7 linked regions of the Mus musculus genome follow. The protein of the gene in region 2 purifies or fractionates together with the protein of the main gene of each other region. This does not show direct contact. Links are inferred from orthologs where the notes say so. Each region holds a gene or a part of one and is shown on either strand. Other genes may lie near its edges. The genes, in order: Kpna3, Mecp2, Ybx1, Ddx56, Gtpbp4, Cbx5 and Kpna4.

Region 1 (3,500 bases), on a different chromosome or scaffold from region 2:
CCTGTGTTCAGTATCCTGTTAGGGACAGCATGGTGCATATCTGATGCCTGCATTCTCCTTCATGTCCTGCTGGATTCCTGGGTTCCTTCTCCATCCTTGCTGCTGAATGCTTAGGCTCCTCCTTCATCCTGCTCTGTTTCAGGTCCCTTTTCTTTTCACTGAAGTCTTCAGTCTGCCTTTGGGATAGTATCCTAACTGCATACCTTTTGCTGTGCTCTGATTAGGGGTTGTTGTAAATTCTGCTCATTATACTTCTCTGCCAAATGTTTTACCAACTAAAAATAAATGCTGACCCAGAATGACATTAAATATATTAAATGCAGGACTGTATATGACGTGGTAGACACAAATGCATGCTAATTCAGAATAATATTAAAGTCTATGGGACCTGTTCAGTGATGAATAAGAACTGTTTTAAAGATGGGACTTCATAAATTTTAGTTTTCGCTATTTAAAAAACTTTCCTAGAAAGTTTTATGTGGAGTTCAATAATTTTCCACTGGGGGCTGGCAAGATGGCTCAGTGGGTAGGAGCACTGACTGCTCTTCCAAAGGACCTGAGTTCAAATCCCAGCAACCACATGGTGGCTCACAACCATCTGTAATGAGATCTGATGCCCTCTTCTGTTGTATCTGAAGTCAGCTACAGTGTACTCATGTATAATAATAAATAAATCTTAAAAAAAAAATACCACAAGAAATTACTGTTTAAAAGCCATTGCTTGGTTTGCTTATGGCTTTGTTGTAGGGATGGAATAAATGTTAATTTTTTGTTCCTCACAGTCTCTCAAGAGTTAATGAAAAAGACGGAAACAACAATTTCATTATAAACATGTTTAAAACTGTTTTCTTCCTCCTTCAGACTGCAGCACTCAGAGCGGTTGGGAACATAGTGACTGGCACTGATGAGCAGACCCAGGTGGTTCTCAACTGTGATGTCCTGTCCCACTTCCCAAACCTCTTGTCACACCCAAAAGAGAAAATAAATAAGGTAAAGGCATGCACTGTTGCTTCTCCTCTCTATGACGGTTTCCTCGTTGCTATTAGGATGTTTATTCAGTCATGACACTCCAGGGGAGAGATCTTTGTCACGGTTTTACTGTTTCATCACTGTCTGCTTCCTTTAGTCCCACTCTCAGCACAGAATAAAAATAGTGAATATTTGGACTTTTTATGTTTAAATAGGTTGAGCAAAATTGGTAATTATTAAGTTATTAACCAGTATACAAAAAATACATACAAAACCTCCCACAAAAATAACTGGTATTTTTAAAAAATAAACATGTAATTTAATCTTCTACAACATAGAAAAGACCTTAGGGTATCATGTCTTCTTTCAAAGATCATAAAATGTATTCCTTTAAAGTTTTAAATACACACACACACACACAAATGTATTTGTAATTGGACAGCAGACACTTAAGTAGTTTTATGTCTTGTTTTAAAGTTCATTTATTTAATAGAATGTTAGAGCTGTGTGTGTGTGTTTATGTGTGTGAGGGGGAAGGACCAAGGTCAGCATCAGTTATCTTCCTCAGTTACTCCCTACATTGTATTTTTAAAAATGACTTTTATTATTTTTAATTCTGTGTATGGGTGGGTGGGCATGTGCATATAAATGCAGGTGCCAGTAGAGGTCAGAAACAGCCCCTCCCTCCCTGAGCTGGTGGAGGTCCAGGAGGTGACTGAGCTGCCCAGGTGTTCCTAGGAGCTGGGCTCTGGTTTTGGAGAACAGATCATGCTCTCACCTTGTGTTTTGAAGCAATGTCTTTCACTGGACCTGAGCACTACAGATCTTTTGTGTCTGTGCCTCACCAGTGCTTGGGTTACAGATATGTGTCAGTGAGCCGAGGTTCTAGATGGGTGCTAGAGATCTCGTCGGGGCTCATGCTCGTATGGCAGGCACTTCACCACCTCAGCCTCCTCCCAAGCAAGCCTTGACCTGATTTGCTTTTATGGCCGAATAAGTCACTCTGTTGGATGTTATACCACATTTTTCTCATTTACCTGTTGAATGACACTGGGGTTGTTGCCACTGCTTGGCTATTGTGAATAAAGTTGCAGAAAACACTGACACATCAGTAACTTTCAAGTCTTTGATTTAGTTTACTCTCTGATGTTGCTAGAAGTTGCTGCAGTCATGGTAACTGTGTGGTAGTTTTTTGAGGACCCTTTAAACTATTTTCCCTTATGGCTGTACTTTACAGTGTATTAGGGTTTCGTTTTCTCTCAAGCTGTGTGGCTATAGTTGTTGGTCACCATGTGTCTCGCATAGGTGCTGAGTACCTGAACGCAGGTCCTCATGTTCTTGTAGAAGGCACCTTATCCACCGAACCTTCTCCCCTGACCTAATGCTTTAAAATAAATATCTTGTAGTGGAAGTAGTTTTGACAAGAATTTGGAAATTCCAATCTTTGGGCATGCCTTTCAAAATAAACTAATACAACTCTGTGGAGAAAGGTTTGAGGCTGCTTTATTTGCTGTTGTATCTACTTAGAATTATGCTTAGCTTAAAGTAGGCTTACAGATCATTACATAAACACTGGGTTTAGTGGACATACGAGTATCACGACTGGAAGCTTCCTTCCTCTTTACTTAAATGGGAAGTCTGAATTGGCTAAATAGCAGGTACAATGCTTGCCTTGTAAACCTGACAACCTGAGTTAGATCTCTAGAGCCACATGATGGAAGGAGAGAACCAAATCTCAAAAGTTAGAATTTGTCTGACCTGCACATATGCACTGTGGCACAGATGTGTACAACCTTTGCTTATATACCAAAACTAGAATCGCATACAGCGATAGTAAGTAAAATTAAAAGGGCAGTCTTGCACAACCGATCACTTTTTAGATTTGGTCACTTTAACACTACTCAGGAGATTTTGTTATCAAATATTTAAAATATTAAAGAGAAAAATAAAAACATTAAAAGTAGCTTTTTCAATAAAAGTGGTCCATATTTTGTTCACTACAGGAAGCAGTATGGTTCCTTTCCAATATAACAGCAGGCAATCAGCAGCAAGTTCAAGCTGTAATAGATGCTGGGTTAATCCCTATGATTATTCATCAGCTCGCTAAGGTCAGTTATATTATAAATTCATTATTTATCTTAATTTTTTACAACCCACATGTTTTTGATAAAGAGCTTACTTTGCGAAATTGTTTTTACATTTTAGGGGGACTTTGGAACACAAAAGGAAGCTGCTTGGGCAATTAGCAACTTAACGATAAGTGGCAGAAAAGATCAAGTGAGTATGAGAAAATTTAACTTGTCACTTTACTAATTTCAGCAAGGGCCCTTCTTATTTTTGTAAGTTACTAGATGTTTTCGTCTGGGTACTGCAGTTGTTAGAGGAAAAAGAATTAACAAATATTACAGATATTTCTTCTCTTGTATTGTCTAGGTTGAATACCTTGTACAGCAGAACGTAATACCACCATTCTGTAACTTACTGTCAGTAAAAGATTCTCAAGTGGTGCAGGTGGTTCTAGATGGTCTTAA
Region 2 (3,927 bases):
ACTCCATAGCTTTGCCTCCCTATCCCCAATAGATTAGGCTTCATAGAAGCAGATCAGGTAGAGTGAACCACTCTATCTGGAAAATACACAGATTGCAAAAACATATCATAACCTTCCAAAATCTTTGTGGTCTATGTGTAGTCTTTGTGGTCATATGTACCTCAGGAGTCAAACAGCACAAAAAACAGAGTAGAAGGCTAAGGATGTGGAGTGATTGCCTAGCATGCATGAGGTCCTGGGTTTGACCACCAGTATAACAATAACAAAAAAAAAAAAGGAAAAAAATAATCCTTAGAGTACAATGGACAACATGATGCTTTCTTCTTCAGTGAAATAGTGACCTGTTACTGTAGCTTTAAAGTACTCAAGACACATTCTCATGGAAAGAAAATAGGCATATGTGATAGATCAATACTAGCAAGAAAGCCATACAGTTTCTTCAAATTCTTAGGACACACTAGCTTCAGATGTCACCAGGCACTTTGAAAGGAAACTGTGTTCTAGAAGTTGCTTACGATGTTTAAAGAGCTATGGGTACAACAAATAGATAACCAGAGGGGCACCTGAGGAAGCAAACCTGTTGTAAGAATATAAAAACAAAGTAAAGGTTCCAACTCTGAGCTCAGGCTCAGATGTACAAACCTTGGAATTTTTTGACAAGCAAGACTTGGGTGTGTTTGTGAAAGTGAATGCACTCTGTCGGCCATGTGTATTAACTCATTTTAGATCATTTGTACTTTTACAGTGTTTGGACTCTTTAAGGTTCTGACATATCCAGGTAAGAAAATAAAAGCAAGTGTTTCCTAGGCTTTCTGAGTATGACTTGAATTTGAAGTTAAAAACAAACGAAAAACCAAAAGTCTGTAAATATATTTTTCCAAATCCTTGGTGGAAACTCCCCAAGGACCTAACAATCCAAATTTTATCTTTTTATAGAGATTCGACATATTTCAAAGAACCTAAGATATCAGTTTAATCATGTTATTAATTGAAATTGCTGAGATTCACATAATTCCAACCACAAACCCAAAATTCTCCTCTACAGTAATAATTACCTATTAGTGAAATTTTACTACCCAGGCCCAAATTGGTTTCATTTATGTAGTATAACAAAATATCTAGAACTTGTCCTACAACATCTCAGTCACTTAGCACTATAAATTAGTCCATTCTGTTTCATGATCGTCATCAACCACCCTGTATTTGAGCCTACTGCCTCACTGTAATGATTCCAAACAGTGGAGTCAACATGCAAATGACTCAACAGAGCCCATTTGTGTTCCTGGAAAATTAACCAAGAGTACATATCTGCCTGACTATGAGTCAGGAATATCAAATTTGTGGTGGAGCCCATTTTTGTTTTGATCAACCTATACCCGAACATACAAGGAACCAGCATAGAGGTATCCCCTAACAAGCTTTGCCCTTCAGGGGTCCATACTGAACAATGTCATACCAGGGTCTCTCTTGTGAGAGGGAATCTTTTTTAGACTCCATGATGACTTTAAACCTTTAGTGCAAAACCTCAGAAACATTGCCACTGCCACATAAAAGTCACCTGTGTTTTATTTTCAGTGATTCAGCCATAACCAAACTAAAAAGAGAATGAACTTTCAAAGATAAGTGACAGGAGTCACAGCGATGCGATGATCTCGCCCCATTTGGTACTGGCGATCCTGAGCGCTCCAGGACGAAGAGAGCCCGTTACATACAACGTCCCATTCCACTTATGTAACTGGATGATCGCTGGCGAAGGGAGGGGAGGGAGGGTGGGAAGACGCTCATATTCCGAAGCCACAGCACAGCATCCCCAAAGAACCAGAGCACCCTGCGGGCATGGTCTCACGGAAGAGCTTCGAGTGCTGAGGAACGCACAGTCCCTTGCCCACGGTTCCTGATGAGAACTACAACCATCTCTTTATGATGAGTTGTGGGACCTAGGAACATAATGTCTAGTCCTTTTTGTGGGTGGACAATAACCCTCAACTTGTTCCTGCCAAGTGGGGAATGGAGCTGATGGACCGACTCGCTTGCAGTGGGGGCAAAAAGTCACGGAATGGGAGAGGAGGAGGAGGGAGCAAAACCCAGAGATGGGGGTAAGAGCTCAGGAGCCCTTGTGGCGCACTCTCCCAACGGGAGATGGACTGCGCACGCGCGCCAGTCTGTGTGTGTGAGGGGGGAGCAAGTAACGGGAGTGGGGGCGCGCGAGGGAGAAGGGGACAGCGCGATCCAGGGAGAGGCCGGGACCGCGGGCGCGCGACAGTGCCGAGGCCCAAAGCCCCAAGAAGGGCAGGAGCGCGCGCAGCCCCAACTGGCGAAGCCCAGACGACAAGGGCGCTTGCACAGCTGGGGCCTAGGATGCGCACAGATGGGGCGGGCAGCGGGAGGGCGTCATTCGAAGGTGGCTCCAGGGAGATCGCGCTGAGAACCGTCGCTCGCGATTGCGGGAGACGAGTGGAGAAAGCCACCACCGGCGGCAGAGGGAGGGGGAGGGTAGAGAGGAGGGACGCCATCCGCCAGCCGTGTCGCCCGACCCCGCGGGCCCCTCCCGCGCCACGTCCCGCCCCTACCCGCCCCCCAGCAAGGGTCCCCGCCCGCGGCCTTGGCGGTCCCACTCACAGTCTCTCCTCCTCGCCTCCTCCTCCTCCTCCGCTCGGCGCGGCGGCGGCGGCGGCGGTGGCGGCAGCGGCGGCCATTTTCCGGACGGGTTTTACCACAGCCCTCTCTCCGAGAGGAGGGAGCGCGCGCGCAACCGATGCCGGGACCCCGCACGGCAGACGTCGCGCCCCGCCCTCCCGACCAGCCTGTGTGCTGCTGCACCTGCGCGCCCGCGCCCCACCCCTTGCTCTTTGTCGAGATTACCCTTCATTGGTTGTGGAGCCCAGGCTGGGGCGGAGCCTTAGCGGTGACGCCCTCAATTGGCAGGAGTTCCTGTCTGTTTAGGCAGGGAAAAGAGGCGGACCCCATTCAGCTGCGGATTGGTGGAGTTCTACTGTCACTTGGAAAAAAGAGGCGGCTAGGGCACAGAGGGGCTGGTTTTGTGGGCAGCATTTGAATGTTGAGGATTAACTGGGCCCTTGTGGACTCTGGCGCTTAAGGAAGTCTAGGCTCTTGGCGCCTATTAGAGCCTCCCTGCTGAGTAGTTCACCATTGTGATAAGCATTTGACTTCACCAGCATTTCTTTATTATCATTTTCTGTAGAAGTAGCAAAGTTGCCTGTTGAGGAGCCTGGCGTTGTTCCAAGCCAAGGGACTTGTTTTAAAGGGTCTACTGATTGTATTATTACACTAAATTAGCAGATGTCGCACTCTTAAGGCTGACAGTAAAATCAACATATCAAACCTTGGTCTTTGCAGACGTTTATAATGGGCAGATGGTGTGTGCCAAGCCCATAAGAGATCGGTCTGTCATTGTTGAATCAGATGGTTTGATGGAAGTACGTATAAAAGGGAGTGAGGCCAGAGGGAGCATTGTCAAAGCAGCCTTACCCTGATACCAGTCAGCATCCAATGCTCTTTGTGCTAAACAAATGCTCAACAAGAGACTTTCTTTCTTTGTTTGTTTTTTAAACACTATGCAACAAGAGACTTTCTGATTCAAATTTGGCTCCCCTCTCTATTCATTTATTTGCTAGGCACTGTTTTAGTACTGAACAAGGAGACAAACTAGACTCCTGGTAAGGAAGAGTCATACTAAACATACAAGAAAGTAGAACTTAAAATTTTGCACAGAGATAAAGACTTTGAAATAGATAGGGCAAGGACAAAAGAAGTGCTATTATGATACCCTCTAGCTTTTGCCCTCATGTCGTCTCCCAATATGGGTAATTGGGGAAAACATTCTAGGCAAGTTTAAACACTCTAAGGAAGGACTATGCCTGCCTTACTAAGGAGGCCAGTGTGACTGGAGAGAGACCTAGGCCACCA
Region 3 (3,500 bases), on a different chromosome or scaffold from region 2:
TTGAATCCTCTGTCCACTTGTCCAAGTACCCTCCTGATTTTGACCCTCCCACCCCCAATTAGGTGTGTGTGGTGTGTTTGTGTGTATGTCAACATTTGTGATCTTTTAATCTTTTGTGTGTGTGTGTGTGTGTGTGGTTTTTTTGAGAAAGAAGGGAGAATGAGAATATTTAAGTTGCTTGAGCTGCCAGCTTCAAACGACCAGCCTTCCTGCCTGGCCTCTTGAGTAGCTAGAATCAAAGGCCTTTACCCTGGCACCCAGTGTGACCAGTGCTCTGTGTTGGTTTGATTTCTTTTTTTTTTTTTTTTTTTTTTTTAAGATTTATTTCTTTATTTCTTTATTACATGTAAAGTACACTGTAGCTGTCCTCAGACACTCCAGAAGAGGGAGTCAGATCTTGTTACGGATGGTTGTGAGCCACCATGTGGTTGCTGGGATTTGAACTCCTGACCTTCGGAAGAGCAGTCGGGTGCTCTTACCCACTGAGCCATCTCACCAGCCCTGATTTCATTTTTGAGGCAGTGTCTCACCTGGTAATTCTGACTGGCCCAGAACTCATAGAAATTGCTTGCCTCTGCCTCTTCGGGGCTGGCATTAAAAGGTGTGCGCCCTCATGCTTACTGCCCTGTGTGTTACTCATTTGTTTTGAGATCAAGCTTTTATGTAGCCCTGACTGTTCTGAAACTCTGTGCAGGCAAGATTGGCCTCAAAACTCAGATCCAGATCGCCTGCCTCTGCGTAATGTCCCGTGTTTTTAAGATTATTAGGGACCTTTTGATGGTTCATTATAGTTGGTTATATATTTCTTAGATTTATTTTATTTGCATGTTTTGTTTGCATGTATGTGTGCCTTAGTCAGAGGCATCAAATCCCTTGGTACTGATGTTAAGAACGAACAGGTAGTTGTGTATACTGATATCTTGGGCAAATATTTTTTGGTGTTTTTAGTTGTATGTCTGCCTTTTATAAAGATAGGTATTGATCCTTTCTGCTTTGATTTTTGTTTGTTCTATATATGTATGAACGCTTGCCTGCATGTGTCTGGTGCCCATGGAAGTCAGAGAGCTTGTGGGTTCCCCAGAAACTGGAGTTAGGGTTGATTGTGAGCCACCATGTGGGTGCTAGGAATCAAACATTGGTCCTCTGGAAACAAGTGTTCTTAACTATGGAGCCATTTCTCCGGCCCTTGAATTAGTTTTATGGTAGGTAACACATTGTGCAAGCTTTAAAGTTTGCACAAAGTAAAGGATTTTCTAACCATGCCACAAATTGGTCACTTCTCAGTTGATTGCTTGTCAGTTTAAGTGTTAACAGTAGTAAATGAAACATGGTGCTACTCATGTATAAGTACATGGTGAGAAAATACTAATTTTTTTGTTCATGAACAAATAGGAAATATTAAGACCCGTGGGAAGTATAGCTCCTTTTGATGGAAAGGGTACTGGTATCGGTAAAAAATTAGGTCAAGGATTTCAGTGTGTGTTAAATGGAAATGAGAGGTTTAAAAGTACATAGTACATAGAAGAATAGTTACTGGCAAGAAAAGTCCAGGCAGAGGGAACCAGCATGGTTCTGTTTCCAAGCATTTGAGCAGCTGATTCAGCTTTATTGATCTTGGTTAATATGAATGAATGAGAATCTACTTATACACTTGGCTTTTGAGAGTAACTTAGATTTTTTGCTAAGTAAGCTTGTCTGAAAGACCACTTGAATAAATGGTTGGTGCACCCAGGTACCAAATATTACTTGTGGTAAGGCTAAAGGAAGGAAAAAAGCTGTTACTGTTTTCTGAGATTATGTAGCATTCATTTCAGGGGCCCTCCTCGCCAAAGACAGCCTAGAGAGGATGGCAATGAAGAGGACAAAGAAAATCAAGGAGATGAGACCCAAGGTCAGCAGCCACCTCAACGTCGGTATCGCCGAAACTTCAATTACCGACGCAGACGCCCAGAGAACCCTAAACCACAAGATGGCAAAGAGACAAAAGCAGCCGATCCACCAGCTGAGAATTCGTCCGCTCCCGAGGCTGAGCAGGGCGGGGCTGAGTAAATGCCGGCTTACCATCTCTACCATCATCCGGGTAAGTAGGCACCCTTGGCTTCCACTGCACTGAGCTACGGTGCAAAGAAACTGGCAGTAATAGATTAAGATAAGACATTTTATTATAGTGTTGTGCACTCTAGCACAAATTAGACAAATGTACTTTTTTGATTATGAGCTGCCTACATTCTGAATCAATGATAATTTTGGCAGAAAGCTAAGCAAAGTCTTACTTCCTGTGCTCTGAAGACAGTGTTGTGAATTTGAAGGTTTGAAAAGTAACCTTGCCAGGTTTGGCAGTGCCCACCTTTAATCTCAGCACCCACACAGAAGGCAGGCAGATTTCTGAATTTGAAGCCAACCAGGAAATCTGAGGTCTGTCATGCCTAGTTTAGCTTAATTTGACTTTACTAGCGAGTAAGACTGTTTACCTGCTCTGGTTCTGGGGTTGCCATATTTTTCAATTAGTGTCCACTTCTCTTCTTGTAAATCATCCTTTAAGCTAAAGCCAAACAGTGGGTGAAATGTGGCTGCTAGAGTGCCAATTCTAGAGTGTGGTCCACGAGCTAGACTTCGGGATGGTAATTAAGAGTCTTTTCTTTGCAGTTTGGTCATCCAACAAGAAGAAATGAATATGAAATTCCAGCAATAAGAAATGAACAAAGATTGGAGCTGAAGACCTTAAGTGCTTGCTTTTTGCCCTCTGACCAGATAACATTAGAACTATCTGCATTATCTATGCAGCATGGGGTTTTTATTATTTTTACCTAAAGATGTCTCTTTTTGGTAATGACAAACGTGTTTTTTAAGAAAAAAAAAAAAAAGGCCTGGTTTTTCTCAATACACCTTTAACGGTTTTTAAATTGTTTCATATCTGGTCAAGTTGAGATTTTTAAGAACTTCATTTTTAATTTGTAATAAAGTTTACAACTTGATTTTTTCAAAAAAGTCAACAAACTGCAAGCACCTGTTAATAAAGGTCTTAAATAATAATGTCTAGTTTTGTCATAATTGAGTACTCTCTCCCACTTTTAGAATAACAGGTAACACCAGCAGTAAGCAGTCTGTCAGGAGTGCTGTGAGGCATCAGCTGTAGCCACGTGAGTGGGGTAGAGAAGCTTTGTGGGGCCGGGCTAGTCTGGGGTGTTTCCCTCTAGAGAAGCTCCAGGGCGAGCGCACTGGCATCGCACTAAAGAACTGCTGCTGAGTGGGGACTAATGGCTGCTAGTTGTCCGCCAAGTCCATCAACTTTTTAGGCCAATTCTTTGTAGTAGAAACTAATAGGAATTGATGAAAGACTTCAGCAGCCCTATTAACATAAACACACAGAGACATGTTAGTGTTAGCTCATACCAGTCATGGTGACTGCTGTAAATACTCTGCTGTCAAGAGCATAGTGAAAGAATTCCTGGGTAAGATTCACAGGTGTGAGTTTACCGATAACAGACAGTGTTGGTTAA
Region 4 (4,300 bases), on a different chromosome or scaffold from region 2:
AACCCATTCACAGGGTCCACCTAAGACCAGCAGAAAAGACACATTTACATCATGATTCATAAGAGTAGCAAAATTACAGTTGTGAAATAGTAAAAATGATGTTCTGGATGGGGGTCACTTCAACGTGAGGAACTGTATTAAAGGGTAGCAGCATTGGGAAGGTTGAGAAGCACTGATCTAGATCATCAGTTTGAGCTCACTGCAGTCACAGGTGCCAGAGTCCAGCGTTTTGCAGTTAGGCTTCTAGCCCCACCTTAAGTCTCCCCCTTTTCCTCTCCTTTGCTGCTGATTGAGACTCTAAGGCATCATGCACGCTAGGGAAGTGCTCTACATTGATCCTGTTGCCCACTTAATGACCCCTTTTATTGGTCTTTTCCTTCAGCTCAGCCCCTCCTGTTATCAGGAGGGCTTTCCCTTTCTTAATAGGTGGTCACTATAAGACCCTGTTGGTAAATGTTTTTAGTCCCCACCAATCTCTTTTCTGTTATTGCCCTAACAATAGTTACAGCGCCCAGAAGAAATGGGCCTAAGGTCAACTGACACTTTTTTGGCTTTAGGTGTTTTAAGAGGTCCCAAGGAAGGGTGGTAGTGCATGCCTTTAATTCCAGCACTAGGGAGGCTGAGTCAAACCAGTCTGGTCTACCTACCAAGTTCCAGGCCAGCCACTACATAATGAGGCCATGTCTCAAAAAAACCAATCAATCAATCTTCCCCAGGCAGTGATGGCACATGCCTTTAATCTCAGCATTTGGGAGGCAGAGGCAGGCGGATTTCTGAGTTTGAAGCCAGCCTGGTCTACAGAGTGAGTTCCAGGACAGCCAGGGCCACACAGAGAAACCCTGTCTTGAAAAAAACAAACAAACAAACAAAAAAAAAAAAACAAAAAAAAAACAAAAACAGAAGAAAAAGTCCTAAGGACATTCCCTGGTAAGGAATTCTCAAAGAATGGGCCTTATTAACATGTGTAACAAAGTCTGATTTTCGTTTTCTGGGAAAGATGGTCCCAGGAAGGGTTCGAGTCAACTTGGCTCTTCTTCTAAGAGCTGTTAAGGATTGCACCGCGTGTTGGCAGTATTTGTGAAAATCTTCATAGTAGCTGAAGGCCTGATTTAACATTTATCTTAGGTTAGCAACTTGTGCCGCGATTTCTGCCCAGTGAGATTTGCCTCTGGTTACCCACAGAACCCTAATTCCTTTGCGCATGTGCCTAAGTGGCGGCTGCCTCCCTTTAGCCAAAACGCGGTCGATCCCAACCATAACCTAGCAAAGCCCTGCCCACGTCACTCTGTGGGTCAGGGAAGGCTGAGGCGCCAGAGAAGAGGCATCCACAATTCGGAGGGCGTTCAAGGGACAGCATTGCGGAACGCTCCTGCGCAGAGCCAGCACAAATTGGTAGCAACGTCGGACACCCAGGAGAAAGTACTTCCAGGAAGTGACGTACCTTCCAGAGCTGATTAGTTGTTGGTTTGTCCCGCCCTACGCGTGCGCACTGACAGCGTGGAGTCACGCCATGGAGGACCAAGAAGCGCTGGGTTTTGAACACATGGGCCTGGATCCCCGGCTCCTGCAGGTATGGGGTAGGCTGTGGAGCTGCTACCCGGTGTGCCGCTGTACTCCACGCCGCTTGAGCTGCGTCCTCTTCCTTCTTAGGCTGTCACCGATTTGGGCTGGTCGCGACCTACGTTGATCCAGGAAAAGGCCATTCCTCTGGCGCTGGAGGGGAAGGACCTCCTGGCCCGCGCCCGCACAGGCTCCGGGAAGACCGCAGCTTATGCTATTCCGATGCTTCAGTCGCTTCTCCACAAGAAGGCGGTGGGTAGCGAGAGGAGCAGTGAGTATGAGGCAGGACGCTCCAAAAGAATAGGGAATGAAGTGCCCGACTGTGCCAAGGTTCCTCCTATAGGTCCTGTGTCAGTGTTAGGCGGCCCATAGAGAACTTGGTCAATTTGCAGCTTAATCTCTGAGCTGGAGTTCAGGTTACTTGGCTCTCAACCCGGGCCTTGGTGCCACGACCGCCATCCTGTTGTAATTTTGAGTAACCTTTTATCTAGAGGGGGACTCATCAGCTCCGTAGTACGTTAAGTGATTTCAGCAAGTTCTAAATTTGAGTGCCTGGGAAAGCTCTGCCCCCTGTGCTGTGAGGTGGGCAGAATTAAGAGTTTATCAGGACACAGCTAGGTGGTTGTGTTGCAGTACATGGTTCTGACTGTTTGGGCGGACCCAGTACTTTGAACGGTCTTGAATTGGTGTTCTTACAGACAGGTCCTGTAATGGAGCAGGCTGTGAGAGGCCTTGTTCTTGTTCCTACCAAGGAGCTGGCACGGCAGGCCCAGGCCATGATCCAGCAACTGGCTGCCTACTGTGCTCGGGATGTGCGAGTGGCTAACGTCTCAGCTGCAGAAGACTCAGCTTCTCAGAGGTGGGTGAAACCTGCAGGCCTCCAAAGGGAGAACGCTTTGCAAGTGTGTGCCCTTGGTGGTGTGAGTGGCTAGCCTGGGCAGGTCTGCCAGGGCGAGGGTCTGGCTGCTAAATCCTTGCCACCTGCAGAGCTGTGTTGATGGAGAAGCCAGATGTGGTGGTGGGAACCCCATCCCGAGTGTTAAGCCACTTGCAGCAGAACACCTTGAAACTCCGGGACTCCCTAGAGCTGCTGGTGGTAGATGAAGCTGACCTTCTTTTTTCCTTTGGCTTTGAGGATGAACTCAAGAGTCTTCTCTGGTAAGGAAGAAACAGAAGTGGCTCCTAGACCTGCAAGGGTCTGGACTTGGGACTGGAGTGGAATGGGTGGGCTGGAGCCTGATCAAGCCCTGTTCTTTCTTTCAGTCACTTGCCTCGGATTTACCAGGCTTTTCTCATGTCGGCCACTTTCAATGAGGATGTACAAACTCTGAAGGAGCTGGTACTGCATAACCCGGTAAGTGGAGCATCTGGGACTGAGACCCAAGTCTCTGAACTTGTTGATCCTTCTCAGGAAACTTCTGGCGCTTGCGGGGGGACTATTTTTGTTAGGTATGTCTTTCCTAATTCTTAATCACTGAAAGGAAGTCACTTGAAGTCATTATATATTTATAGCTTTCCCTAGTCCAAACTGTGCTTTGCTTGGAAGTCACTTGGGGTCACGTTTCCAAAGGGAGCCAAATTCTAAGACCAGAGTTCCCCTTGTGTACATTTCAGTCTTCTACTTCCAGCCATTGTGCAGGCTTCTATTCTGTATCCTGTCTACTCCCAATGTTTGTCTTTGTGCTGTACACTGATGCTGTATGTATAGTTTGTTTCTAATACCACAATAGTTAGGGTACTTTTGAGTTCTTAGGTTACAGCCCTGAGGTGGGGTGGGGGATGGGGCAGTGGCTCACACACCAAAAACCCTTAAAGACATGTTCTATCCTGCACTAATGTAGTTGCTTTGGTTAGTGAGGCAGTGTCCACAGAACCACTTCTCTTTCCTGATCACAGGTCTGTCCTCTTCCTAGGTTACCCTCAAGTTACAGGAGTCCCAGCTGCCGGGGCCAGACCAGCTCCAGCAATTTCAGGTGGTCTGTGAGACAGAAGAGGACAAGTTCTTGCTGCTGTATGCCCTGCTCAAGCTGTCACTGATTCGGGGCAAAGCCTTGCTCTTTGTCAACACTCTAGAGAGGGGTTACCGGCTCCGTCTTTTCCTGGAACAGTTCAGCATTCCTTCCTGCGTGCTCAACGGAGAACTCCCACTGCGCTCCAGGTCCGCTGTGTCTGTCTTGATAAAGATAAGCTGAGAAGAAACATGGAAGGAGAACCCAGTTGGTTCTTTCCCCTTTTACGAGATGGGTTATGCTGTATTTGTAGTCCAAGTTAGCCTTGAATTTAGAGCAGTCCTCAGATTTCTAAGTGCTGAGATTAAATTTGTGGGCTGCCTCACACAGCTGGTCTTATTTCTTCTCCTCCCGCCTCTTTGCAGTGTGAGGGATTGAGCCCAGAGCCTTGTTCTTGCTAAGTAAGCACTCAACCACTCAGTTATACACCTAGATCCCTTTTCTGTTCTGTAACCACTTGCTAGGAGCTAGCCTCTCAGTATGATGACAACTCTGAAATAATTAGCTGCTGCTCCATTAAGGAAGAAAGGAAGGAAGGAAGGAAGGAAAATTACGAGTGTAGGTGTTTTATTGCCTGTGTGGTTTATGTGTCCTACGTGCGTAGCTGATGCATAGGGAGGCCATAAAGGGTGTTGGATCCCCTGACATTGGATTTACGGAGTATTAGTTGCCATGTGGGTGCTGGGACTAGGACCTGGGTCCTCTGGAGAGCAGCCGAGCGTTTAGTCCTT
Region 5 (4,047 bases), on a different chromosome or scaffold from region 2:
GCCAGGACCTGAGTTTGGAATGGCTGAAAAACTTGTGAATACTTCCAACTGATGGAGGAGGCCCCTTCCTTGTCACTCTTCCAATAAAAATATGCCTGGGGTAGAAGAGAGGACTTGCTAATGGTTGCTGAAATATATTTTACCCCATGTTTTTTAATGCTATTTTAACTTTCAAATAAACTCAAGAATAAATCAGAAGAAAAAGAGCCAGCTCTTCAATTTCAAGGATTTTGTAGCTTTGATTTTAAAGGGGTATAAAATGAAAAATCTAAAACTCATCATCTAAAATTTCCTGGGTATGCTGAGTAGACTATTTGAGATATTTGTACTTATTCACTTTTACCCAACCATAGAAAGCTGTTCTACTTTCCCTTGATCACTTCCATTAATTGAACAATATTGATCATTTTCTATAATAAAGGATAGAATGAACACAATGCTGAAGACAAAACAGTGAAGAAGACACTAAGATCCAACGAAACAAAACCAAAGGCAAGCAGGTAATCACAATACAGTCTGCCAGATTACGGAGAGCATGGATACTCAGGCCTGCTGCTCTTCTACTCTGTTCCTTTCCATGGTCCTCATATCTTTTAAAAGTTGCCTACTGAAAAGTTTCTCCAAACTCACCCATTTATTAGTATATTCTTTGTTTTTATTTTTCTAATCAGGGTTTCTCTGTGTGTAGCTTTGATTGTCCTGGAATTTGCTCTGTACACCAGGCTAGCCTCAAACTCACAGAGATCTCCTGCCTTTGCCTCCTCAGTAGTGGGATTAAAGGCATGCACTAACACCGACTGCCCAGTTCTCACTACATTCTTATGTTATCCCAAATCTCTGATATTTACAGGAGTTTATAGTCAGGGTTCCTCCCACCCAAGCCCTCGCCCACCAAAACAGAGAGATATTTGAGTTCACTTTATAAAATGGCACAGTACTTGTGTGTAGAAGAATCCACATATATTTGTCATATACGGTAAATAGCTGTAACTATATGTAGGGAATGCTCCTTTAAAAAGTCTATGTGCATGGTGGCTCACGCCTTTAATCCTAATCCTAGAGGCAGAAATGTATAAGTTCCAGGCCAGCCAAGGCAGACAAAAAGAAAGCAAACAAACAAAAAAGAGAAAATAAAGTCTATGTACATTAAATATAGATGCAATTTTCAAATAGTGTTTTTAATCTGTGTTGGTTGACTCTGGATTTGAACTCATACAGAGGGCCAATTGGAGCTCACACTTCTCCATCATACTGCGGTGGGTATAAACACATTCAGTTATTCCTTCAGAAAATCCTTTTTTTTTAAGATTTATTTACTTATTTATTTATTATATATAAGTACATTGTAGCTGTCCTCAGATACTCCAGAAAAGGGCATCAGATTTCATTACAGACGTAACGTGGTTGCTGGGATTTGAACTCGAGACCTTCGGAAGAGCAGTCGGCGCTCCTAAACCACTGAGCCATCTCGCCAGCCCCCAGAATATGATTCTTAAAGACGCAGACTATTCTATGTGTTTCTATACACAGAACTTGGCACACACTTTACAAAAGCACCCCATACTCTTCAGATTGACTTTTTATTTCCCACCACCTATCTACACACATGCAAACTCATCTGCAAACAGACCTCCTTCAGGGCAACAGAGACAAAGGCTGCCTTTCCTAGGTCAATTATATCAACAAAGTTCCTTTGACCCAATGAACTCTATTTCCAGTGAAATAAAAAGTGTACGAGTTCCTTCAACATGCACTTGAGAAGTAGTGGCGACAGTCTCGTGGGCTAAAACAAAATGTGATTCCTACATGTAGTTTCTTTCCAATTATTACAAACGTGTGAAAAACGTATCAGAATGGATATCAGAAAGAGGAAGAAAGGAGAAATACAGAGACGTGTAAGGAAAACAACTAGTGGAAACATGGTTTTTGTCTTTTCAAGACAGGGTCTTTCAGAGATCCGCCTACCTTTGCCTCCCTAGTGCTGAGACTAAAGGCGTGCACTACCACGCCCACCAGAAAATACTAGTTCTTTACACAAGTTTTCAAAGCAAGCTCATTCAGAAAGGGGGATGTCGAAAACACCCACACTGCGGTCAATTTAACGATAGTGACACTGGTTCCTCTAACTGATTCTGCAATTTAATGCCCATGGCTTGCCAGAGAAACCGGTGTATCCTTTTAGGTTCTTTAGCCTACCTCATTCTCGACATTTGGGAGGAAAGCATCTTGCTACGTTACATAATGTGGGCCTGGCTACTTGCGTGCTTATAACCAATTGCATCTTTTAAGTCCAACGACAAAATGACAGCTACCTAAAATCTTTTTAGACCGTGACGTCACGAATCAAATTCTACTTAAAGGGGAGGGTACTCACACGACGCTCACCACTGGCCCCTTCAGGCTTCCTACCCTGCTCCTTACTGTGGCCACCACCCAGACACTTTGTCCCGTCGGCAGGCCACACAAGAATCATAGGCTCTGGAACGGCCCTGATGTCTTGGAGGGATTCTAGGGCTTAGGGTACCCAAGGACAGCAGGAGAGGGGCTTGGTTTCAGAGAGTGGGACTGATCTCCGAGGGTCGCGAGGACAAAGCCTAGCAAGCGGAGCTCCGCACTGAGGGCCGAGGGACTGCACGGTGTCCTCCCTCCCCCAGTCTCGGGGATACAGGCCTGGACCCTCCCTGGCGACTTGTCGGGGAAATGGAGATAGGCGGAAACGACCTCTGTCACCCCTACCTTGGCAGACGGCACCACCGTAATCTTCTTGAAGTTGTAATGCGCCATGCCGGCGGTGGAACGCACGAGGAACCAGGAGAAGCGGAGGACCGGACTTCCGCCGGCGGAGGTGGGCGGGACTTCCGCTATCCGGCGTGACACAACTTTGGCTGCCGGACTCAAGCGTTACATCATTTCCTGAATGTCCGCGAGGCGTGGCCCACGCGTCCGCCTAGACAGGCTTCTAGTCCCACAGCGTCCCCGCTCGGCCGGGAAGTCCGCCGCCAAGAGCCGCGGTAGAGATCTGCTGGGTTTAGAGGTGGGAGAGATAACCTTGCGGGGTGAAAGGGAGACTCCCGGCTGGCCACCTTGGCGGGGCTCTCAGGAAACACTGCCCTCACCCAAGCCGGCTTCGGGGCTCCAAAGGGTGTTTCCAGCCACCTCTGGGGACGCCGCGGCCAGAGCGAGTGACGAGCGGGAAGACGCAGCGCGGGGCTTCTGCATCACTTTGGTGTCCCTTGAGCAAGAAAGGCTGTCTGTCGCCTGGCAGTGTGGAAAGTTATTTATTCGAGTAAATTATGTTGACGGGGCTTCTGTTAATGGAGTAGACTGCATACTTCCAGGTGGCCCGAGTTTCCTCTCCTGACCTTGCAGTCTCGAGGTGGTTTGTGGGTGCTCCACCTTCACCTGACCTTCACCTGACATGGGCCAGTGAAAAAACTCTGCCCCCCACACAGCTGCCCAGAACCCAGGCACCAGACATAGACACAAAGTCTGATCCGTACAGACCTACATGGATTGAAGCCAACCTTCCCACTTGCGTTTTCCCTGTCAGTTTAATTAAGCCACCCATTTCTTTACCTTAATCCATCTACTCTTGCCTCATGATTATCTTTTAACTAAAAGACCCTTTCTCAGGTGTTGCCATCTTCTTCAAACCTTTCTCCCTATTTTTCTGTGACATCCATCATTCTGGTACTTGATGTCTAGAATGCAGTCTTCTTTGCTAATTTACCTTCCTGAGTCTCTCCCTAACTAGATAATCCTCAAGGTTCTTCCTCTCCTCAAAGTCTCCTTTCTCCTTTCTCCTTCACAGCCCCAGTGTGGACTACTTTGATAATACAAGTTGCTTTCAGCCTGGTGTCTTTTTTAATTACAATCAGACATTTTCAATCAGACTCCAGATATGTTAAATTGGGTATTTCCCAAGAGCATTTACTTTCTGCTTTTCTGACTAAATGCATCTCTCTGTGCTGTTGGAAAGGACAGTCTCGGGCTGGTGAGATGGCTCAGCGGGTAAGAGCACTAACTGCTCTTCTGAAGTTCCTGAGT
Region 6 (3,500 bases), on a different chromosome or scaffold from region 2:
GGTCACTGTAGCTAATCAACACACTTCCCTGCAAGCTTTTGTTTAACAATATACCTTAAGGTCCATCCTTAGAAGAGAAAACCTAAACCCCGTTTGCACAGCAGGAGCAAGAGGACAGTGACAGGAGCAGGAAGCTCACCTCTCTCTTTTTTTTAGATTTAATATCATCAGCGCTGTTGGAGAAACTGGATTTCCTCTTGTTTCCTTCTGATTTCTCCCTGGGCTTATTGTTTTCACCCTCCTTCATCTTCTTATACTTTTTCATAAACTCAGAAATTAGTTCAGGACAATCCAAGTTCTTCTCAGGTTCCCAAGTATTGTGCTCCCTGGACAAAAATAAAGACAAAAGGAAAGAATGAGGGATAGGATAATGCCCTGTTTTCACCCACTTCCCATCTCGGCAGAACTGGCGAGTGTTTGCAAACTACATCCTTAGCTTAGCTGTTTTCATTGCGAAGGGTTGTTGTAAGGAGGACATGTGAGGGAAGGACAGGAAATCTATACTTAGGGTATAGTTCAATGGTAAGGCGCTAGCATATGCAGTGCCATAGGCTTGAGCTGCAGCTCTGCAGAGAAAAAGAAATCCAACAAATTTAATCTTCAATATTCACAGAAGAGACGTGGGAAAAAGTATGTTCATAAAAGTCATGTAAAGAACTATTATAGCAGCAGTATTTTTTTCAGGACTGAGGATCAAACCCTAAACCAGGATTTTATATCTGCTCCACCACAGAGAGTACAGCCCTATAGCAACATTTTAGTAGCCAAACCCTAAAACAAACCTGAACAGTCACCAACTGATGAATGGATGAACAAAAATATGATGCAACTGTATAATGGAATAGTATTAAGCAACAAAAAGAAACAAAATACATTGAGAAAAATCTCAAAAACAGTATACTGAGTTTGTAAGAAAACATACGCTTTCTTTCTGTTTCCGTTTCTCTGACATACCCTGGCAAGATATATTTTAGATTAAACTGAAGAAATGTTCTGTAATGGACACACAGTAACAAGCCAGACCAATCTCAGCGTTCAAAGCTAGTCTGGTCTACAGAATAGTTTCCAGAACAGCCAGAGCTACAAGGAGAGAAACCTTGTCTCAAAAATACAAGACAATGCTGGGCATGGTGGCGCACACCTTTAATTCCAGCACTTGGGAGGCAGAGGCAGGCAGATTTCTGAGTTCGAGGCCAGCCTGGTCTACAAAGTGAGTTCCAGGACAGCCAGGGCTATACAGAGAAACCCTGTCTCGAAAAACCAAACTAAACCAAACAAAACAGAACAAAACAAAACGAAAAACAAGACAAGCTGGGTAGGTAGTGCACGCCTTTAATCCCAGCACTTGAGAGGCAGAGGCAGGTGGATTTCTGAGTTCAAGGCCAGCTTGGTCTACAGACCCTGTCTCGAAAAAACAAAACAAACAACAACAAATAAGACAAAACCCTTGTCTCAAAGAACAAAACAAGAAACATCACATTGTACAATTTCAATGGATATGGGTGGCTCTTTTACTATTTTTTATTTTTTTGAGAGTGAGTGCGGTCCTAAACCTCATTCTGTGGACTGAACCCAAACTCAAGATACCTGCCTGCCTCTGCTTACCAAATGCTGGGGTTAAAAGCCAGTGTTGGGACTAAAGGCATGTGCCACCACTGCCTAGAGTAGTTGACTCTTAAGGCACATAAATTATAGTTTAATAAACCCATTTAAAACTACCAATTTGGGGGTTGGAGAGATGATTCAGTAGTTAAGAGTGCTTGTTATTCTTGCAGAGGACCTGAACATGGGTAATTCCAATTCCAGTGAATCTAATGCCCTCTGGCCTCCACAGGTACCTGCAAAGTATTCATACTACCCGCCCTCCCCAGACACAGACAAACACTCACACAATTAGCAGGTGGTGGTAGTCACCTTTAATCCCAACAAGGGAGAGGCCAGCCTGATCTACAGATCAAGTTCCATGGCAGCCAGGATCACAAAGAGAAACTGCCTTTTTTTTTTTGGTTTTTCAAGACAGGGTCTCTGTGTAGCCCTGGCTGTCCTGGAACTCACTCTGTAGACCAGAATGGCCTTGAACTCAGAAATCCACCGGCTTCTGACTCCCAAGTCAGAATACTGGGATTAAAGGCATGTGCCACCACTGCCCAACTGCCGTTTTTTGTTTTGTTTTGTTTTGTTTTGTTTTGTTTGGTTTTTCAAGACAGGGTTTCCTCTGTGTAGCCCTGGCTGTCCTGGCACTCACTTTGTAGACCAGGCTGTCCTTGAACTCAGAAATCCACCTGCCTCTGCCTCCCTAGTGCTGGGATTAAAGGGCGCCACCACGCCCGGCTCCAACTGCCTTTTTAAAAACAAAACAAAAACACCCCCAAACAAAACAAGCCCCCCCCCCAATTGAATCTTTAAAAAAAACAAAACAAACCCAGTCTAGAAGTTGGGTATATAGCTCAGTGGTAAAGGTGCTTGTCCAGTTGTAAGCAAGGCTCCATGGCATTAATCCCTAGCATATCTTCTCTCCATGAAAAAAGGCCGCCTATTTTTATTTTATTTTTACTCAGGATCTGTGGCTGGCCTGGAACTTTGCTAGGTAGATCAAGATGACCTCTAACAGAGAATCAATGGTCTCTACTTCTCAGAGTGCTGAAATTAATGGTACATGCCACAATACTCAGCTTCTCTTTGAGTTTAAAGACAGTCTTACTATGTAGCTCAGGCTGGTCTTGAACTCTCTGAAATTCTTTTGTTTCAGCCTTCCAAATACCTAGAGTACAGAATGAACCAACATGTAAGCCTCTGAGGGTTTTTTTTTTTTTTTGGTTTTTTTGAGACAGGGTTTCTCTGTGTAGCCCTGGCTGTCCTGGAACTCACTCTGTAGACCAGGCTGGCCTCGAACTCAGAAATCCGCCTGCCTCTGCCTCCTAAGTGCTGGAATTAAAGGCATGCGCCACCACGCCCGGCTGCCTCTGAGTTTTTATATTCTCAAAGTTGACCTCCAAATTTTCTATTTGTGGGCTGGAGAGATGGCTCACCGGTTAAGAGTACTGACTGCTCTTCCAGAGGTCCTGAGTTCAATTCCCAGCAACCACAAGGTGGCTCATAACCATCTGTAATGGGATCCGATGCCCTCTTCTGGTGTGTCTAAAGACAGCAACAGTGTACTCACATGTATAAAATAAATAAATCTTTAAAAAATTTTTTCTATTTGTAGCACAGGTTTTAGAAAACTAAAACTACAAAGATCTAATGGAGCTCTGAGTCCAGACTTAAGACACATGGGACACTGTCTCAAATATCAACAACAGAAACAATAACAAACAAAAAAACTAAGAAAAAATAAATGCTATGGATGGGAAGACAGACTGATCCCTGAGGCCCATTAGCCAGCAAGCCAATGTGTATCAATGAACACAAGAAAGACATCTGGCAGGGCAGTGGTGGTGCACACCTGGGAGGCAGAGGTAGGCAGCTTTTTGAGTTCAAGGTCAGCCTGGTCTACAAAG
Region 7 (3,500 bases), on a different chromosome or scaffold from region 2:
ATTCAAGACCTATTAAAAGTAAACATTGAAGCACAAGCTCATCTTGTGGCAGATAAACAAGAGTTAGGAAACAAGTGGAAAGAAAAACAAAGTTGTTGGATATTAGAATACTTTCCAATGTCTTGCAAATCTTTGAAAAAACAAAACACTAAAATTTGTATTTAATCAAAGAACTTTGCTATAACTGGAGAAATAAGACTGAAAAATGGAACTGAGGAACAATAGGTTTTCATAGTTTGACATACACATGTGCGCGCGCGCACACACACGCACGCACACGCACACGCACACGCACACACACACACACACACACACACACGCATGCACGCTCGAATTAGTATTTAAGCTAAATATTCACTTATGCTTCAAAATACAAAAACACAACCATGTGTATATATTCTCAAAAGCCAGATGGCAGCTGGAGTAAGCATAAATGTCAAGAACAATCAATCCTGATGAGAGGAGATGACTAACTGCATCTTTGTAACAGGTTTGACTCCTCACTGAAGCTACAGAAACAGAGGAAATGGAAACATAACAAATAAGTACCTTAACTCTTGAAATGGTAAAGTATGACAGAATACAATTACACACTGTTTTCAGTCCAATATCATAGTGGGAGTCCAGAAGATATACATACACACATACATACATTTATTAATATACGAGAAGAATTTACTCACATTTACATCTGTGTGATGAATTAATACACAAAGAGCTGGAAGAATCTGAGGAGAGAAATATGTACAACTTAAACATACTGATTAAAAGAAAAAACATAAAATGGTATCTAACTATTTTTTTCTTTTATTTACCTCCTGAATTGTCTCCATTGGTGGTGGTGGGTCTTTGTGGCGACATAAATTGACCATAACCCAGGTAACATTTCTTAAGAATGTTATAGGAATAGATGGACTTATGAATGAAAGCAGAGGTTTTACAACTCCAAGACTTATCACATAATCTCTACACTGAGGTCCATCACCTGTAGAAAGGATTAATTAAATAAGATAAATCAACACTAAGCTTTTTCAGAAAACATAAAGCACTGGGTACAATTATGCAGCTACTAACATTTTAATAAGATTTTTTTTAGTTTATATAAAAATACTAGGAATTTAACAAGTAGACATTATAGGTCTTTGAGCCAAGAGAACCAATGTAACAAATATGTGTCTTTATAAGCTGCTCACTTACAGGGTGTCACTAAGATGCAGAAGCCCAAGATTATTTCAAATACTTTGAGCAGACATGTTATCATTACCGCAATGCTTTGTTCAGTATAACAAGCTTTTACATTAATACAATATGTCTAAATAACTATTGAGAAAATTAATGCAGAATTTATACATCATGATTTAATAGGGTCTAGTGTGTTGGCACAAGTCTAATCACAATGTTTTGGAGGTAGAGTCAGTATGGAGATAAGTTTAGCTACACAGTGAGTTCAAAGTTAGCCCAGGATACATGAGACCCATTATCAGAAGCAAAACTAATCCACAGGGGAAAAAAAAAAACTTTCTTGCACTATAATATCTGGTGATGTATATAATTCTAACATGTAATTAGAGAATAAAAAAACAAAAACAAATATCATAATGGTTCTCTACTTTATTATAATAATTTACCATAATGTCTCTTTGATACAGTGGGGTCACAAAATCTTTAAGGAGGGGGATGTCACATATCAGATATCCTGCATATCAGATATTTACAATCCTTAACATTAGCAATATTACAGTTATGAAGTAGCAACAAAAATAACTTTATGATTGGGGTTTGAATATCTCTGGCCCAGGGAGTAGCAATATTAGGAGGTGTGGCCTTGCTGGAAGAAGTGTGTCACTGTGGGGTGGGCAAAGAGACTCTCCTTCTAACCATGTGGGAGCCAGTCTTCTTCTAGTGGCCTTGAGATGAAGATGTAGAACTCTCAGCTTCTTCTGTACCATGCCTGCCTAGATGCTACTATGTTCCTATCTTGATATTGGACTAAACCTCTGAACCTGTAAGCCAACCCCAATTAAAAGTTGTTCTAAGAGTTGTCTTGGTCATGGTGTCTGTTCACAGCAGAAAAACCCCTAACTAAGACAGTGGTCATCACAACATGACGGTGAGCATTAGGAAGGTTGGGAACTTTTAACAGCTTTATACAAAGCTTTGATGCTTGATACAAGAGGCACCCAGATATGCAACGTCACTTCTAAAAGCAGTGTCCTCTACACTAGTAAGTTCACAGAGTACGCTGCTCACAAAAATTAATAGGGGCAATAACAATGCTAACAACACTTACATGCAAATAACTGTGGAAACACATACCTATAACCTCTAAATTCAAAAGGCCGAGGAAGGAATAGGGCTCAGAGTTCAGTAAAACATGGGCTACAGTCAGTCAGGGAGACATAGCAAGACAAAACAAACAATACCCTCCATGTCAGAACAATGAAGACTGTGATGAGTGTTTAGGGCTGTTGAGATGGCTTGGTGAGTAAAGGTGCTTGCTAACACTCTGAGTTCAATACTCAGAACACACGTGGAAGTGTCTAGTCTTTACACATATGCTGTAATATACATGTAAACACACACATATACATATATACAAAGTAAGTGAAGTGTCTTAATTTTTAAAGAATGTCCAGAATCCTCCTTCATCAAAACAAACAAACAAACAAACAAAAAACAAAACAAAAAACAAACAAACAAAAAAACCACCAAAAAAGGGATTTCCAAGATTTCCAAGCCAGATTTCAGTATTGGTTTGGGGGTTGGGGGGTTGTTTTTGTTTTTTTGAGACAGGGTTTCTCTGTGTAGCTCTGGCTGTTCTGGAACTTGCTCTGTAAACCTAAAACTTTCAGAGATCCACCTGCCTCTGCCTCTGCCTCTGCCTCCTGAGTGCTGGAATTAAAGGAAGGAGTGCTGCAACCACCACTAGCTAGTTTTCTGTTTGTTTTCAGACAGCATCTTGCTATGTAGTACAGGTTAGTCTTGAACTCACAGCAATTCTCCTGCCTCAGCCTCCCTAGGTACTGGGATTAGTTCTTTGAATTTTAAAGTCTGAGTTAATACAGCCTCCAGTAAACAGACTTGGCGGTATATAGTCTTGCAATCCCACACTTGGGGTGGGGATTCTCCAGCTGAGGTAAGACGACCATGAGTTTCAGGCAGCCAGATTACCACAAGCAAACAAAAATGCCTCTAGTCTAAAAAAATGCTCAAAATACTGAGATTGTGTCAATTATTTTTCCTACAGTTATTTATAAGGGCAAAGGTCATGATAATGTTCAATAATGAATTAGGCTATTAGATACTTACTGTTAATTCACAATAGAAATATACATTATATACTAAATTTTAATCTCTTATACAAGGTTTTTAGACTGCTCAAGTATGCTATAAAAAGAAAAATTATTTTAATTTTTGCCTACTGTTATTCATAGATGGGGAAAGTTAGTAATAATGTATATATTTTATAACCCTTTAAATAACTAAGAGCTGACTACCAA

The links.
Region 1: the proteins of Mecp2 (region 2) and Kpna3 purify together in Homo sapiens (affinity purification with mass spectrometry; 3 studies listed by BioGRID and IntAct, counting the BioPlex papers as one, with this or other methods). This does not show direct contact. The link is inferred for Mus musculus from reciprocal best matches to the Homo sapiens genes MECP2 and KPNA3.
Region 3: the proteins of Mecp2 (region 2) and Ybx1 purify together in Homo sapiens (affinity purification with western blotting; 3 studies listed by BioGRID, with this or other methods). This does not show direct contact. The link is inferred for Mus musculus from reciprocal best matches to the Homo sapiens genes MECP2 and YBX1.
Region 4: the proteins of Mecp2 (region 2) and Ddx56 purify together in Homo sapiens (affinity purification with mass spectrometry; 3 studies listed by BioGRID and IntAct, with this or other methods). This does not show direct contact. The link is inferred for Mus musculus from reciprocal best matches to the Homo sapiens genes MECP2 and DDX56.
Region 5: the proteins of Mecp2 (region 2) and Gtpbp4 purify together in Homo sapiens (affinity purification with mass spectrometry; 3 studies listed by BioGRID and IntAct, counting the BioPlex papers as one, with this or other methods). This does not show direct contact. The link is inferred for Mus musculus from reciprocal best matches to the Homo sapiens genes MECP2 and GTPBP4.
Region 6: the proteins of Mecp2 (region 2) and Cbx5 purify together in Homo sapiens (affinity purification with western blotting; 3 studies listed by BioGRID, with this or other methods). This does not show direct contact. The link is inferred for Mus musculus from reciprocal best matches to the Homo sapiens genes MECP2 and CBX5.
Region 7: the proteins of Mecp2 (region 2) and Kpna4 purify together in Homo sapiens (affinity purification with mass spectrometry; 3 studies listed by BioGRID and IntAct, counting the BioPlex papers as one, with this or other methods). This does not show direct contact. The link is inferred for Mus musculus from reciprocal best matches to the Homo sapiens genes MECP2 and KPNA4.

What each region holds. Positions count from the first base shown.
Region 1 is NC_000080.6:61,370,448-61,373,947, reverse strand, and holds part of Kpna3 (importin subunit alpha-4), read left to right. Parts: intron 1-861; coding exon 862-990; intron 991-2,972; coding exon 2,973-3,077; intron 3,078-3,174; coding exon 3,175-3,246; intron 3,247-3,402; coding exon 3,403-3,500. UniProt on the Homo sapiens protein: Functions in nuclear protein import as an adapter protein for nuclear receptor KPNB1. Binds specifically and directly to substrates containing either a simple or bipartite NLS motif.
Region 2 is NC_000086.7:74,082,891-74,086,817, forward strand, and holds the start of Mecp2 (methyl-CpG-binding protein 2), read right to left. Parts: upstream 2,801-3,927; 5' UTR 2,697-2,800; coding exon of another isoform or gene 2,620-2,696; intron 1-2,619. UniProt on the Homo sapiens protein: Chromosomal protein that binds to methylated DNA. It can bind specifically to a single methyl-CpG pair. It is not influenced by sequences flanking the methyl-CpGs.
Region 3 is NC_000070.6:119,277,514-119,281,013, reverse strand, and holds part of Ybx1 (Y-box-binding protein 1), read left to right. Parts: intron 1-1,802; coding exon of another isoform or gene 1,803-1,814; coding exon 1,815-2,049; 3' UTR 2,050-2,080; intron 2,081-2,646; 3' UTR 2,647-3,500. UniProt on the Homo sapiens protein: DNA- and RNA-binding protein involved in various processes, such as translational repression, RNA stabilization, mRNA splicing, DNA repair and transcription regulation.
Region 4 is NC_000077.6:6,264,930-6,269,229, reverse strand, and holds the start of Ddx56 (probable ATP-dependent RNA helicase DDX56), read left to right. Parts: upstream 1-1,500; 5' UTR 1,501-1,510; coding exon 1,511-1,570; intron 1,571-1,650; coding exon 1,651-1,812; intron 1,813-2,258; coding exon 2,259-2,419; intron 2,420-2,547; coding exon 2,548-2,718; intron 2,719-2,823; coding exon 2,824-2,914; intron 2,915-3,473; coding exon 3,474-3,718; intron 3,719-4,300. UniProt on the Homo sapiens protein: Nucleolar RNA helicase that plays a role in various biological processes including innate immunity, ribosome biogenesis or nucleolus organization. Plays an essential role in maintaining nucleolar integrity in planarian stem cells.
Region 5 is NC_000079.6:8,993,213-8,997,259, forward strand, and holds the start of Gtpbp4 (nucleolar GTP-binding protein 1), read right to left. Parts: upstream 2,801-4,047; 5' UTR 2,785-2,800; coding exon 2,737-2,784; intron 1-2,736. UniProt on the Homo sapiens protein: Involved in the biogenesis of the 60S ribosomal subunit. Acts as a TP53 repressor, preventing TP53 stabilization and cell cycle arrest.
Region 6 is NC_000081.6:103,205,353-103,208,852, forward strand, and holds part of Cbx5 (chromobox protein homolog 5), read right to left. Parts: intron 327-3,500; coding exon 140-326; intron 1-139. UniProt on the Homo sapiens protein: Component of heterochromatin that recognizes and binds histone H3 tails methylated at 'Lys-9' (H3K9me), leading to epigenetic repression. In contrast, it is excluded from chromatin when 'Tyr-41' of histone H3 is phosphorylated (H3Y41ph).
Region 7 is NC_000069.6:69,089,093-69,092,592, forward strand, and holds part of Kpna4 (importin subunit alpha-3), read right to left. Parts: intron 986-3,500; coding exon 816-985; intron 729-815; coding exon 684-728; intron 1-683. UniProt on the Homo sapiens protein: Functions in nuclear protein import as an adapter protein for nuclear receptor KPNB1. Binds specifically and directly to substrates containing either a simple or bipartite NLS motif.